Linked DNA regions of Caenorhabditis elegans. The protein of the gene in region 1 interacts with the protein of each later gene in a pairwise test. Each region holds a gene or a part of one and is shown in the gene's direction. Other genes may lie near its edges.

Region 1 (8,270 bases):
CTTTTTCGGCTCATAAATTCCCCTTTTTTTTCTCGAAAGTTTGATTTAAACATATACATATGTACGAATTTTATTGATTTTTTTTTTCGATTTTTTTCTCCAATTTTATGGTTTACTACCACAGCCAATTTTCTATCTTTCTTAAATTACATTTTCAGGAAAATCGAATTTAGATTAAAAAAAATATATATTGCAAAAACCCACAAACACAAACAGAAAAGTTCGAATTTTGCAAATTTTGTTTGTCCGAGAGGAGTACACGAAATTTTCAAATTTTTGATAAGCTAATTTTCAAACCAAAATTTCTTAAAATTCGGATCGTCCGAAAGGAGTACAATTTTTTTTTGAAAAAGACGAAAACAAAATTTTGAAAATTCAGGTTGTCCGAGAGGACTACACAAAATTTTGAAAATTCAGGTTGTCCGAGAGGAGTACAATTCATTTCGAAAAAATTTTAAAAAAAATCTACTTTCGATTTTCCGAGAGGAGTACAATTCATTTCGAAAAAATTCGAATTCCGAATTTTGAAAATTCAATTTTCGATTTTCCGAGTGGACTACAATTTGTTTCGAGAAAATTGAAAAAAAAAACCTGATTTCGATCGTCCGAAAGGAGTACAATTCATTTCGAAAAAATTTTAAAAAAATCTAATTTCGATTTTCCGAGAGGAGTACAATTCATTTCGAAAATATTCGAATTCCTAATTTTGAAAATTCAAGTTGTCCGAGAGGACTACACGAAAATTAAAGCCAAAAAATTATGCAAAAATTCAAATTTTCGAAAATTAGGATTTTCCGAGAGGAGTACAAATTTTCAGCATTCCAAAAAAAAATGACAGCCGGCGGCCGAATTCTACGGCTCACCGCCGACAACATTGAGGAGGCAATTGACGCGGCGGTTTGCGTATTTCTGAGAGGAGGTTAGCACCCCGCCTCCTACAGTACCCCTACCGTACTCCCTAGGGCTTTCATGGTAGGCAGGCGCCGCCTGCCTGATGCCTGCCTGCCTCACCCCGACATTTCGCTCTTTTTTTCATTTTTAAGAATTTACAATTTTCGAATTTTCTCAATTCTAGTAATAAGGCGCCGCCAATTGAGGCGATAGGCAGGCAGGCGGGAGACAGGCAGGCATTTCACTGCCTGCCTGGAAGCCCTAGTACCCCTTCGACCAATTCTCCTCTCCAGGAATCGTCGCCCTACCAACCGACACTCTCTACGGAATCTCCACCCTACTACAGTACTCTGACAGGCTCTACGCGTTGAAACAACGGCCGTACGAGAAGCCGCTCGGCATTTTTCTGCCGAGCCCGACGGCGATGAAGCTCGTCTCAAGGCAGACGATTTCCGATGAGCTAGCGAATTGGTTCGTATAGAAAATTTGGAGCTCAGCGGAGCTCTTGAAAACACCAGATTTGACGCGCAATTTTTTGGAAATTTGCTCGTAAAATATGGTGTATTGGCTCCGCCCCCAATGCACCAGATTTCACGCGCATAATTTAGAAAAACTGAGCTTGCGGACTCGAAAACACTAGATTTGACGCGCGAATTTTTTCAAAAATTAAAATTTGCTCGTCAGATCAAGTGTATCGACTCCGCCCCCTCCCAATGCACCAGATTTCACGCGCATAATTTAGAAAAACTGAGCTTGCGGACTCGAAAACACTAGATTTGACGCGCGAATTTTTTCAAAAATTAAAATTTGCGCGTAAAATATGGTGTATTGGCTTCGTCCCCAATGCACCAGATTTGACGCGCAAACTTTGAAAATCTGCTCGTAAAATATGGTGTATTGGCTCGGCCCTCAATGCAACAGATTTCACGCGCAAATTTGAGAGAAATTTGAGCTTGCGGAGTCAATACACCAGATTTGACGCGCAAATTGTGGAAATTTGCTCGTAAAATATGGTGTATGGACTCCGCCCCCAATGCACCAGATCTGACGCGCAGTTTTTCATCGAAAAAATTAAAATTTGCTCGTCAGATCAAGTGTATCGGCTCCGCCCATCAATGCACCAGATTTTACGCGCAAAGTTGAGAGAAGTTTGAGCTTGCGTACTTGAAAACACCAGATTTGACGCGCAAATTTTATGAAAAATTTAAATTTGAGCGTAAGATATGGTGTATCGACAAATTTTCAGCCTCCTCCCCGGTCCAGTTACATTAATGTTCGAACGCCTTCCATGCCTACCGGCGGAATTTAATCCGGGAGTTGTTAACGTAGCCTGTCGGGTTCCAGACTGCCCAATTGTTTCGACGATATGCAAGTAAATAATGGAAAAATAACGTTGTTTTGGAAATCGAAAAATCAATAATTATCGATTTTTCTAAATTTTTTGAAATTCGAAAAATCGGCAATTATCGATTTTTTTTTGAAAATCGCCAATTATCGATTTTTTGGAAATCGGCAATTATCGATTTTTTTGAAAATCGGCAATTATCGATTTTTTTGAAAATCGCCAATTATCGATTTTTTTGAAATCGGCAATTATCGATTTTTTGGAAAATCGTCAATTATCGATTTTTTGGAAATCGGTAATTATCCATTTTTTGAAAATCGGCAAATAATCGATTTTTTTGAAAATCGCCAATTATCGATTTTTTTGAAATCGGCAATTATCGATTTTTCAATTTTTTTTTCAGAAACCAGTAATTATCAATTTTCCAATCCGGTCCCATTTTTTCCAGAAAACTCGGCCAACCGCTCGCTCAAACATCGGCCAACGTCAGTGGATCCTCACTCAACCCGACATCAATCGATCATTTCCGAGATCTTCATCCGAATATCGATCTGATCCTCGACGCCGGATCAATCATCTCCAGTGGTGAAGGATCAACGATTGTCGATTTGACTGTTGAATCAGGATTCCGGATTGTTCGAAGTGGATGTGCTGAGAAGGAGACGATGCAGAAGCTTAAATCATTCGGATTGACGAAAATTCAGTGATCTTGGGGTTGTGAAGTTGGAAGAGTTTTTCAAGTTTCTAGGCCACCCGACGTCACAAATTCTGTATTTTCCACATTTTTCTATGATTTTTTCTTGTTTTGTACACTGATTTTGTTGATTTTTTGTTAATAATTCATATTTTTTGGAAAATCTTTTTTTATTATTTTTTGCCATTTCCCCAGTGTTTCTCAACACTTTTTATATCGATTTCCAAACAATTTTATTTGAAAATTCTAATTTTCAGAAAAAAAAACAAATTTTACAGATAATGGGAGACCCTGTGGAGGGCAAGGGAGGACCACAACCGCGTGGCGGCAAGAAAAAAGGTAATTTTTGGGGGTCTCGTAGCGATTTTACGGGTAGTAGTTACAGTAGGTCCAAAACTTTTTTTTTCCAAAACATTAATTTCCCCCCAAATTTCGAATTTCGCGCCAAAAATTTGGAAATAAAAAATTCAAATTATCCTCAACAACATTTGTTTGAAAAATTCAATTTTAATCGTGCGCCAGAAATTTTGAAAAAAATTGGATTTCCCCCCAAAAATGTTTTCAAAGTATTTAAATTTCCCGCCAAAAATTTAGGAGCTGTACAGTACCCCTACAGTACCCCTTCAGTACTGCTACAGTACACCTACAGTGTCCCTATAGTACCCCTATAGTACTCCTACAGTACTCCTACCGTACCCCTACTGTACTTCTACAGTACCCATACAGTACCCCTACAGTATCCCTACAGTTCTCTTATAGACCAGTACAGTACTAACACAGCACCCCTACAGTACCCCTACACTCCCCCTACAGTACTCCCACAGTACCCCTACAGTACCCCTACAGTACCCCTACAGTACCCCTACAGTACTCCTACAGTACCCCTACAGTACTCAAAAAATTTGAATTTCGAAATTCAAAAAAAGTTCAAAATTTTAACTCCCGCCAAATTTTTTTGTTGAAAATTTAAATTTCTCACCAAAAAATGTGTTTTTTTTTTCAAAATTTTGAATTCCCGTAAATTAAAATTTCATTTTTGCGCCAGATTTTTTCAAAATTCAAAATTTCCACCAAAGTTTTCGAAAATTCCCAACAAAAAAAAATTCCAGACGCAGACGACGAGAAGAACGCGTGGGAAGAGGGTGATTTCATAGATGAAAAGGTTCGTTTTTTGAAATTTGAAATTTTCCATTTAAAAAATTAGAAAAAAAAGTAGTACTAGACCCCCCCCCCCCCCTCCCCTAACACAGAACAATCCCCCTAAGATGTACATAATATAGATCCATCTCAAATTGAGCCGGGGCTCCACTTGCACATCATCTGCCACGTCATCGGCCCCCTCATCCACGTCATCAACACGTGCCCGGCGCAATTGGTCAGTCTTCTCGGAGCGGCTACGGGAAACGTTGAGCCGAGTCGGCGGCGGCGGTCCCTCATCCACTACTGATTCTCTGATATTGTTTGACGTGAAACGTGTTGGTGATTGCATGTGGATTTGTGAACGAGCTGCTTCTCCTCCGTCTTCCTTTGATTCATCTTCCTCGGATTCCGATGACGATTCGTTTCTTCGAATCTTCAAATTCTTCCCACCAACCCCTGCAGTCTCCTTGGACACCCTTGCGTCGGGATTTGACAACACTGGAAATGTGAGGATCTGGCCTGGAAGTGAGGCACTCGCCTGGACCATCCTACGGGATCCCAACAAGATCCTTGGTCCCAGCCTTGGCGACGGTGATGGTGGTGGCCACAGGAGAATCCTAGAGCTTGGCGCTGGCTTCTTGGGACTTTCAAGCATTCTGATTGCATGCAAGGTTCCCGATTCGAGTGTCTGGGTTACAGATGGTAACATGGAATCCGTGCGTTCTCTGGAAAAGATTCGAAATTCAAACTCGTCGTTGGATCGCTGCTGCCACGTGCGGCAGTTGATTTGGGGCGCACAAGAGCTCCAGCAGCAGCACACCTTTGACACGATTCTCGCGGCGGACTGTGTATTCTTCTCGGAGCACCACGAATCTCTCATGAAATGCATTCACTCGCACCTTCGGCCCAGTGGCCGAGCGATTTTGTCGAGCCCCCGCCGGAAGCAAAGTTTGCAAAAGTTTTTGGACTATGTTGGCACTGTGTGGAGTGACGAGTTCACGGTTTGCATCGAGCCGGATCTCAATTTGGCGTTGGAGCAGAAAATCGGACGAATTTGGATGGACGGAGAGGAGAAGGACGAGAAATTTCCGATTCTTGTGATTCTGCAGAAAATTTGAGAAAATTTAATTTCTTAAATTAAAAAAAAAAAAAACTCGTTGCGTTAGATTTACGCGGCTCGTGTACTCCTCCTCAATTTCGTGGTGTATTTTGCATTCAAATCGCGTCTACACGTGGTGGCGCCGCGCCTGTCCCCTTACGGTTTGATCTACAAAAAATTCGGGATTTTTTTAGCCCAAAAAATGTGACGTCAGCACGTTCTTAACCATCAATTGAGAACTCTGCGTCTCGAGAGAAGATCTTCTCCCGCATTTTTTGTAGATCTACGTAGATCAAGCCGAAATGAGAGACACTCTGACAAAACACCACACCTATTCATAGTGTTTTGTGTGAAAATCTATGTTTTTTTTTCTGACAAAAAATTATTTTTCTCATAAAACAATATAAATTACCAATTTTTGTTGAAAATCGCCAATTATCGATTTTTTTGAAAATCGGCCATTATCGATTTTTTTTGAAAATCGGCAATTATCGATTTTTTTGAAAATCAGCAATTATCGATCTTTTTGAAAATCGGCAACTATCGATTTTTTTTTGAAAATCGGCAATTATCGATTTTTTTTGAAAATCGGCAATTATCGATTTTTTTGAAAATCGGCAATTATCGATCTTTTTGAAAATCGGCAATTATCGATTTTTTTTTGAAAATCGGCAATAATCGATTTTTTGAAAATCGGCAATTATCGATTTTTTTGAAAATCGCCAATTATCGATTTTTTTGAAAATCGCCAATTATCGATATTCTTGAAAATCGGCAATTATCGATTTTTTTTTGAAAATCGGCAATTATCGATATTCTTGAAAATCGGCAATTATCGATTTTTTGGAAATCGGCAATTATCGATTTTTTGGAAATCGGCAATTATCGATTTTTTTTTTGAAAATCGCCAATTATAGATTTTTTAATTTTTTCTGAAAAAAAAGGATTTTCTCCTAAAACGCATTGAATAAAAACCGATTTAAGGTTAAATACAAAAACAACAGAAAATTGCCCAAAATCGAGAATTCTCGAGAAATCTTCTCCTCGGGGACTACACGAGGCGCGTAAATCAACACATACGACTCTTTCATTTTCGATACGTGCCTGCGCCTTCAAAAAGTGGTTACTGTACCCTTGGCGCACGGCATGTGGTCTCGACACGACCGAAACTTTGCAGCTACCATGGTTACTGTAGCTGCGGAGTTCCTGGGTCTCGCAACGATTTAGTTCATCTCAATGTTTTTTTTTTAAATAACAACAAAACAAGTGTAATTAGTTTGTGTATGTTTTCCGGTATCCTACCACTTTTATCGATTTTTCGATTTTTCTATCGATTTTTCTTTCTTGGCTGTGATTCCTTCCCCACCCCCCTCGAGCTTCAGATTTTAGACGTATCTCTCTCTTTTACAGTTTCTTGTCTCGCAATAATTTTTTAAATCGCATTTTCTAGCATTTCACCATTTCACCTACAAACAAATGTATCTCACCAATGTCGAAAAAATCATTTATACAGAATAAAGTTTAATTTAGCTGATCTCTTTTGAATTCGATGGCTTCTGCCTTTCTATAGCTGATTGGTGGTGCAAAAATCGATTTTTATCGATTTTACCCCAACAATCGGCAATAGAGCGCATTTGCCACCGGAAATGCGGAAGCTATGCCCAAATTTTCAATTTTTCCCGGGAAACATGCCACAAGTTACCGAATATGTAGTGGCTTCTGCGTTGCTATTCTGATTGGTGGTTCAAAATGACGTGGTTTCTGGCTGTCCCATTACGGTTTGATCTACAAAAAAAATGCGGGAATTCAGTTGAAAACTCTCTACGTCTCTGCTCCCGCGCATTTTTTGTAGATCTACGGAGATCAAGCCGAAATGAGACACTCTGACACCACGTGCGAAAATCGATATTCAAAGGTTACTAGCCTTTAAATATTGATTTTGCTCCAACAATTGGCCATAGAGCGCATTTGCCACCGGGGATGCGGAAGCTATCCCCAAATTTTCACCTTTTCTCCTTTTCCAATAGGAACTAAAAGGTGCTCTACAACTCGGTGTGCTCAAAACCGCCGACTCGGTTGCTCTGCGAGCCGGCGAGCGAAACGGTCTGGATATGGTGGTCGAAGAGGACGTGGTCAGTCAAGTCGGAGCTCTCGTCTGGGATACGGTTGCACAAGACTGGGCAGACGATTTGGCGAGATTTGTGGCTCACGCCGGACGTCAGAGGGTTAATATGGACGATATTTCGCTGCTGACGAGGAGGAATCCGGATTTGGTGGGTTTTGTTGAGCAAAAAAAAAATTCTGAAAATTTTGCAAAAAAAAGTTTTTTTACTAAAAAAAAGGCACAAATAAGGCCACGCCCCAGAAATGGGCGGGGCTTGATTTTTTACTCGGAAAATTTGAATTTTCCGTCAAAATATTTTTTTTTGATCTCAAAAAATTCGAATTTGCCGGCCAAATTGTTTTTCTCAAAAAAAAAAAAAATTCCCGCTAAAATGGTTTTTTGGAAAATTTGAATCCCCACCAAAAAACTTTTTTCAGAAAACTTGAATTTCCCGCCCAAATTGGTTGATCAAAATATTTGAAAAAAACCCGTCAAAATTGTTCAGGTCCCGCCCACATAATGGACAAAAATTGTTTTTTTCTCAAAAAATTTGAATTTCCCTCTTCTAAATTTTTAAAATGAAGCCACCACGCCCACAAAATGGACAGAATTAACGTAAAAAAAAATTTATGGAAATTTCCTAATTTTGTACCTAAAAATGAAAATCAAAGCTCATTTTTTTCCAAAAAATGTAGAATTGTATATTTTGAAGCATTTTTTTCTGAACAATTTGAATAAAAACGGAATTTTTTGCTTAAAAAAATGCAGGCCACGCCCCAAAAATGGGCGGGGCTTGATTTTTTACTCGGAAAATTTGAATTTTCCGTCAAAATATTTTTTTTTGATCTCAGAAAATTTGAATTTTGCGCCAAAATTGTTTTTCTCAAAAAAAAAAATAATTTCCCGCCGAATATGTGTTTTCTCAGAAAATTTGAATTTCCCGCAAAAAAGTTTTTTTTTCGGAAAATTTGAATTTCCCGCCCAAATTGGTTGATCA
Region 2 (5,980 bases), on another chromosome or scaffold:
AATTTATCATAAAAATAATTTTGAATTTTCAGTGCTGTGATGTGTTTTCTCACTGGACAAAGCGGCGAAAAGATTGTATCTATTTATCCACATCGAAAACCAGCTACCAAAGGTAATCTGAACAATATAAAATCTCAAAAAAAAAAACATTTTCAGCTCCATCGAAAGATCCACAACCTTCCAGCTCTAATCCAGGACAATGTGTGAAGCCAGTTCTTACAAGTGTCAAAGAGTTCGTTTAAATCCGAATATTTAAATTTAAATATTCAAACGTTCAAAATTTCAGTCCAAGTTATGGTTTCGGACGTGTGGATACAGAATTCGACATGTCTCTCGGAATGCTTGCTTATGTGTTCAAAACTCAAGAAATTGCGTGTAACGATGGGTTCGATATGAAGATCAATAATCAAAGATTCGTTGCATATCCGAAGACATGGAAAGCACGTGGTGAATCCACCAACTATCAGATTTCGATTGTTTTTGCACTTAAAAACGGATGTGAACAGCACACAGCGTCCGCATATCAAACACTTTCGAATAAGATTGCAGTCAGTTTGGTCATGCTCCAAAACTATTTTGGATTTCTGGAACGAGAGGACAAGTGGGCAGATAATGCTGAAGAACCTAATAAAGATCATCCTCTGGAAGAGTTCGCAAAGACTAGTTTCATAGTTCAACCATTGGCTGAAATGTTTGAAGAAGTGCGAAATCGAGGAAATATTCATGTAAGATTCAAATTCTTTTAAATTCAGATTTGTTTCCACTAAAGGTTCTATCAGATTTTGATTACAATATTTATTGTAATTTCGCGATATTTTTGACATGTCATTTCAAAGGAACACGCATTTTTCCCATGGTGGTCTTGTCACGATATCAGGGTGCCAGACTTTACAGATTTGTTCATTTGATGTAGAAAAAAAACTTTTGAAATTTTAAATTCTAACCTGTTCAGAAAAACAGAATTTATCATGTACCATTTAAGCACCTAGTAGTATCACTTTACGCGAATGGATGATAAAATTCAATCTAGACTTAAAAAAACATTTCCAGAAATATCTCATAAATTTTGTGGAACTTGGATTTTGTGATGAAGCACATGCCTTGACGAAGTTAAATGTAGTGCCGAAAGGAAGGCAGGAAATCGATGAAATCGTCAGAAAAATGAAGTGAGTTTTTCCTATAATAACCCATTTTTTGGAACTACAAAAACTATTTTTCAGACCTTATCACGGAATTTTGCTTCTCGAAGATGTGTGGCCAACTCCAGATGCAAATCCGATTGTTGCTAAACTTCTCAGTCATTGTAGTCCGGATCGTTCAATTTTGGATATGTCAACGGCGTCTGGAATCCCGATTTTTGAAGTTTTCATGATCATTCGACACTTACTGCAATGGACACGTGCTATTCTCATTTATCCTTTATGTAATACAAACATCTATACATCTGCAACAAGTCCACAACCTCTTGATAAGTGAGCAATTTTTTTGTTTTTTAAACTATATTTTATAAATTCAAAACAAAATCACTATTTTCATAGAACATTTTGATTAGTCAAGGATTTTATTGTTACATTGAAATTCAACAAGTTACAGAATGGCAGAGAAGTTCACAGCTCAATTCGGCAATACCATTCACTTGGCTGCCGGGCTGGCTCATTTCAATCCCCCAAAAACACTGGATACGTTTATCCGAAAAAACCTTCCTCTACACGAACAGGGAGTTCGTGCGAAGCTTGTCGTTGCTTTGCTTCGTCATCAAATGCTCATGCAGTTGCATCAATTTTACTATATTCTGAAACCGTACTCGATCGCGATCCTACCAGAACCAAAAGAGCCATGTCCCGCTGAGTTTACGAAAATCATCGAGGAAAGCACATTACCAAATGACGTGAAGGGAGTTGTAGCGGATATTTGTGCTGAAATGCTCGAAACTACATCTTATGCCAGTGTCAAACGAACGTTGAGCCTTTTCGTAAAAGTTGCTCCGATGATGGATGGAAATCATCATTTGGAAGAAATCAAATACAAAAATAATTTGGTAAGAAATTGAATAGGGTAAATTCTGCTAATACTGATTAAGTATTTTCCAGGATCGTACAGAAATCGAGGGAGTTTTCGTGTCTTTCAAGCTTGTAATTGCTACATTCCGCCGTCCTGATTTTGTTGCCGAGTAGCCAAGGATCTTTTATTCCGGTTTTTATATTTTTCTCATTTATGTACAAAAAATGAAGCATGATTTTACCCCCTATATTAAATTTGTTTTTTTTTCTGAAAGAGGTTATTGCATAAAACCTACTATTTTTATAAATTTTTGAATACCTTCTCCAAAAAATGTATTCAGCTCAAATGGAAAACTATGTCTCTGCACAGGAAAGATACATGAAGTATTTGGAAGATTTGTCAGAGTGAGTACATCAATCGAATCGGAATAAATAATTGACAATTATTTACAGAAATGTTATTCATCCTAAAATTGCAACTGAGGAGAAGGAATTCAAAAAGTTGCAAAAACAGTGCGAGGAGTATGCAAAACTCAAGTTCACATGTCAACGGCTTCTGGTAAAGAGTTCAAAGTTAGACCTAAATCATCTTTTTTTCTAGAATGAGGCTCCAAAAACAACAGAAGGAAAGACCGAACTGGGACAGAGAGTTTTTATGAATATTGAAGTGTAAGATACTTATTATAACTACTACTTTTATTTTTGAATTTAAGGAGAGACACGAAGCATGTGGTTGTTAAGCTGTGTGACGATGTTTATGTGGAGATGAAGCTTCAAGACGCTATCAAAACATGTGATCGGAAGATGGACAGCTTAAAAAATATGATGGAAAAACTGCAAAAGTCAACCAATAAACTGAAAACCGACTTGACAATGCTTCTTGCCACGATGGATATGCCATATGTGGAACCATTCAGATTCACACTTCCTTCAGACTTCCCGTTTCGAATGGAATAATATTTGAATTTGTTCAATTTGTTTTTTTTTCCTATTTTTCCCAGGTCTCATCCACATTTCCCTACGATTTCTTTAAATAAATAACTTGTTTGTTTCAAATAACGGGATAGAAGATTTTTATTTGAATACAGTAATCCAGTTATAAATTCTCGTTATTATCTACTTCCTGAAATTTCAGACTTCTCGCGTATATCTGTGTAATTAGTAAGATTTCAGAATTTCAATCATGGTAATGCACATCAAACAGTCTACAGTAAGATCGATGTTGATTGTGGCTCGGCGAGGCAAGAAACGGTTGAACTTGGATCCGGATGCACTAGCTGTTCTCACAGCTCTTATCAATTTGCTTGCACAGGTGATTAATATGATTTTTTGAATTTTTACTCTTATTTAAAAAAATTTATTTTACAATTTTTTAAAATAACTTAAAATTTCAGGAGTCGGTAGCTCGAGCCGCACAGTCCGCTGCCAACACTGGAAGCCGCCACGTCACAAAAGAACACTTGAAACGAGTCATCGCTCAGCTAATGCTCGATTTTGCAATCTAAAAAAATCATCTCTTTAACTACCGATCTTCTTGTTTTCTTTATAATTCTGTATAAAACTAACTTATGAAATGTGTTCCACACAAATTGTTTAACCACTTGCGAGTTTGCGAAAAACATGAGTCACAGAAGCCGCCTGATCAGTTCCATTTGATTTTCGTGTCACACAATCATTTCAATCGGAGTTTTAGAATTCAGAGTATCGAATGTTTGTTTTTTCAAAGAAAGAGAATCGGCAAAAAATAGTTGAAGTGGAAGAGCATCGAGACTGACCAATACTGTGGTCATTGTTTGCACACATATTGAGCTCCAACCGGAAAGCAACAGAACAGAGACTTAGTGCAAGTTTGAAAGTCTAAGGTTTTCAAAGTTGAACCTACCCAATTAATTGATACAATCAAAATTTGAAAATTACGATTGTTGTTTCTAAATTCAACTTGCACAACTGAAGTTAACTAAGATCTAATTCCAGGATAAAGTATAGAAAAAAGGTCAGAATCTAAAGTTGTCAGTTTGAAATATGTTTGCTCGGCATTCGGCGACAATTTCTTTTGCCCATAAATATAACTTTCTTCGGAAGTTGGGTAACTTTGGCAAAAGTTGAATTTGTTTAGGCCGCGCCGAAGTTCCGACCGAGTTCAATCCAACATTTCCCCATGTCTTTCCAAAAGCGACACAAGATAAGTTTTGTTCAAAGATTGGCCTTGGTTGAATCAAAGTTTTGTTAAAGCAAAACTTGACAAGAATTTCCACTATTTAATATAAGTTTAATAAGTTAAGTTAAGTTAAGCATAAGCTATGTATAAGTTTAATTTGAAATAGATGCCATCCTGCAATTTGGCATTTTTAGTGGTGACGGCGTCAATCAGTCACACTCGTTGGTTTTTTACTCTTTGATTCAGAAGATACAGTACAGTGGTCGAAGGCGAGAAAAACTGTAGAGAAGAGAGAAATTGAGATAGAATTGAAGTCTAGCATGCGCAGTTTGTATTGTCATCGAGAGACTATTGAAGTTGACGAGACTCTGATCGGGAAGGGGGAGGCTTCGCGCCCCGCGGCCGAAAACCAGTGATTGATCTTCTTTTTGACGATGATCGGAGTAAGGAGTGGAAAAGTCTAAACGGCATTCGGAGGGGATGCTCCTTCTTCCGCTCTTACTCCTCTCTCGTCATTCTATGAGCATAGTGGCGGCGGCTTGTTCCCGTCCGCCGGAAAAAAGAACAGTGATAACGATTGCACTGTACTCTAGATCTTAAGACCATAGGTATTAAGTCTCAAGTTAGTCTAATATCTCACTCTAAGCCTCTGATACGGTGTTATTCTAACTTATAGTATCTGTTCTATTTTAAAGTTTATTTTTCCATTGATAAAGAAGAAGTTTGGTAAGGACTTGGCGTTATTTTGAAAGTATTTTCCATCTTCAAACATTTGTTATCATTTAAAATTATCCTAAAATAAACATCCGTTATGCGTCACCATCTTTTAATTTAAGACGATGCACTTCCATATTTTAGAGGTAGAAATACCCAAATAAAGTAGATATATGTACATTCAATTTTTGGCTTTTTTTTAAGCAGATTAGCCTTTAACACCTAGGGGTCAGTACGATTGCAATTATAGCTATATTCGATATCAAAAATTTTACTTGTCACTCGTTTACCAATTCTACTACCTCTCATCGTCCCGCTTAACTTTTCAACAAAAAACCAGTTTCCGATAGGAATCTATTGTGCCTTGAAACCTTGGTCACCCTTGACTCAACATCTTCTTTTCTTTCAACCTGCTTTTCATTTTCAATATGTCAATATTCAATTGATAACAAAATTGATATCCCCCTGCCTTCTTGTCAATATCACTTTCACTTTTGAAACCTGAATTTTGAATTCATAATTTGAAATTTCTCCGAATTCACCGTGCGCAGTGTGTCATAAAACCGATTACGACAACAATTTCCGTCACAAATCGGTCTGGTTCCATAACTATAACAATTGAGGCATTCGATTATTCACTATTTTGCCTTTTTTGTGTTGTTTTTTCCTCTCGAAACATACCCATAAAAAGTAGCTTTTTGATAACTTATTTTCCTGATTAGTTTTCAAATTGGTTTTTTGACAGTAGATCTTAGACCTCCAGCAACAGAAGCATTTCATGAAAGTTTGGATTAGTTCAAATTGACGATCCGATTAATTATAGCTATGAAGACTACCTAGACTTACTTTACAGCAAAGAAAGTTATCAGACTTAAAATATATTTGTGGTTAAGTATGTCCAGGTACTTTTTAAAGTTGTATTGTCTTTAGGCAGGCGTATAGGCATTTTGTACCTGCATGGAAGGTCTATCTACACCATATGAAAACATATTTATTGGGTTAAACTATCTAATTTAAATAGATGATTTAATTTTAATTCTTCACCAATATGGTTTTATATGTTTTTCGGAAACGTTGGACTCCCTTCCCTGAAAATAAAACAAAAGTT

What was found.
Region 2: the proteins of Y48E1C.1 (region 1) and F35H10.5 interact in a two-hybrid assay, tested with the Caenorhabditis elegans proteins (one large-scale study listed by BioGRID).

What each region holds. Positions count from the first base shown.
Region 1 is NC_003280.10:13,411,818-13,420,087, forward strand, and holds the start of Y48E1C.1 (Centromere protein S), read left to right. Parts: upstream 1-3,208; 5' UTR 3,209-3,211; coding exon 3,212-3,269; intron 3,270-4,039; coding exon 4,040-4,092; intron 4,093-4,210; exon of another isoform or gene 4,211-7,196; coding exon 7,197-7,442; intron 7,443-8,270. Other genes in the region: Y48C3A.18 (Threonylcarbamoyl-AMP synthase), read left to right, coding at 832-919, 1,185-1,362, 2,138-2,263, 2,685-2,943.
Region 2 is NC_003282.8:8,297,595-8,303,574, forward strand, and holds F35H10.5 (Centromere protein X), read left to right. Parts: upstream 1-3,173; 5' UTR 3,174-3,183; coding exon 3,184-3,312; intron 3,313-3,394; coding exon 3,395-3,505; 3' UTR 3,506-3,571; downstream 3,572-5,980. Other genes in the region: nprl-3 (GATOR complex protein NPRL3), read left to right, coding at 33-112, 157-232, 287-725, 1,051-1,166, 1,221-1,472, 1,594-2,038, 2,091-2,174; F35H10.6 (Spindle and kinetochore-associated protein 2), read left to right, coding at 2,347-2,405, 2,454-2,559, 2,602-2,669, 2,714-2,957.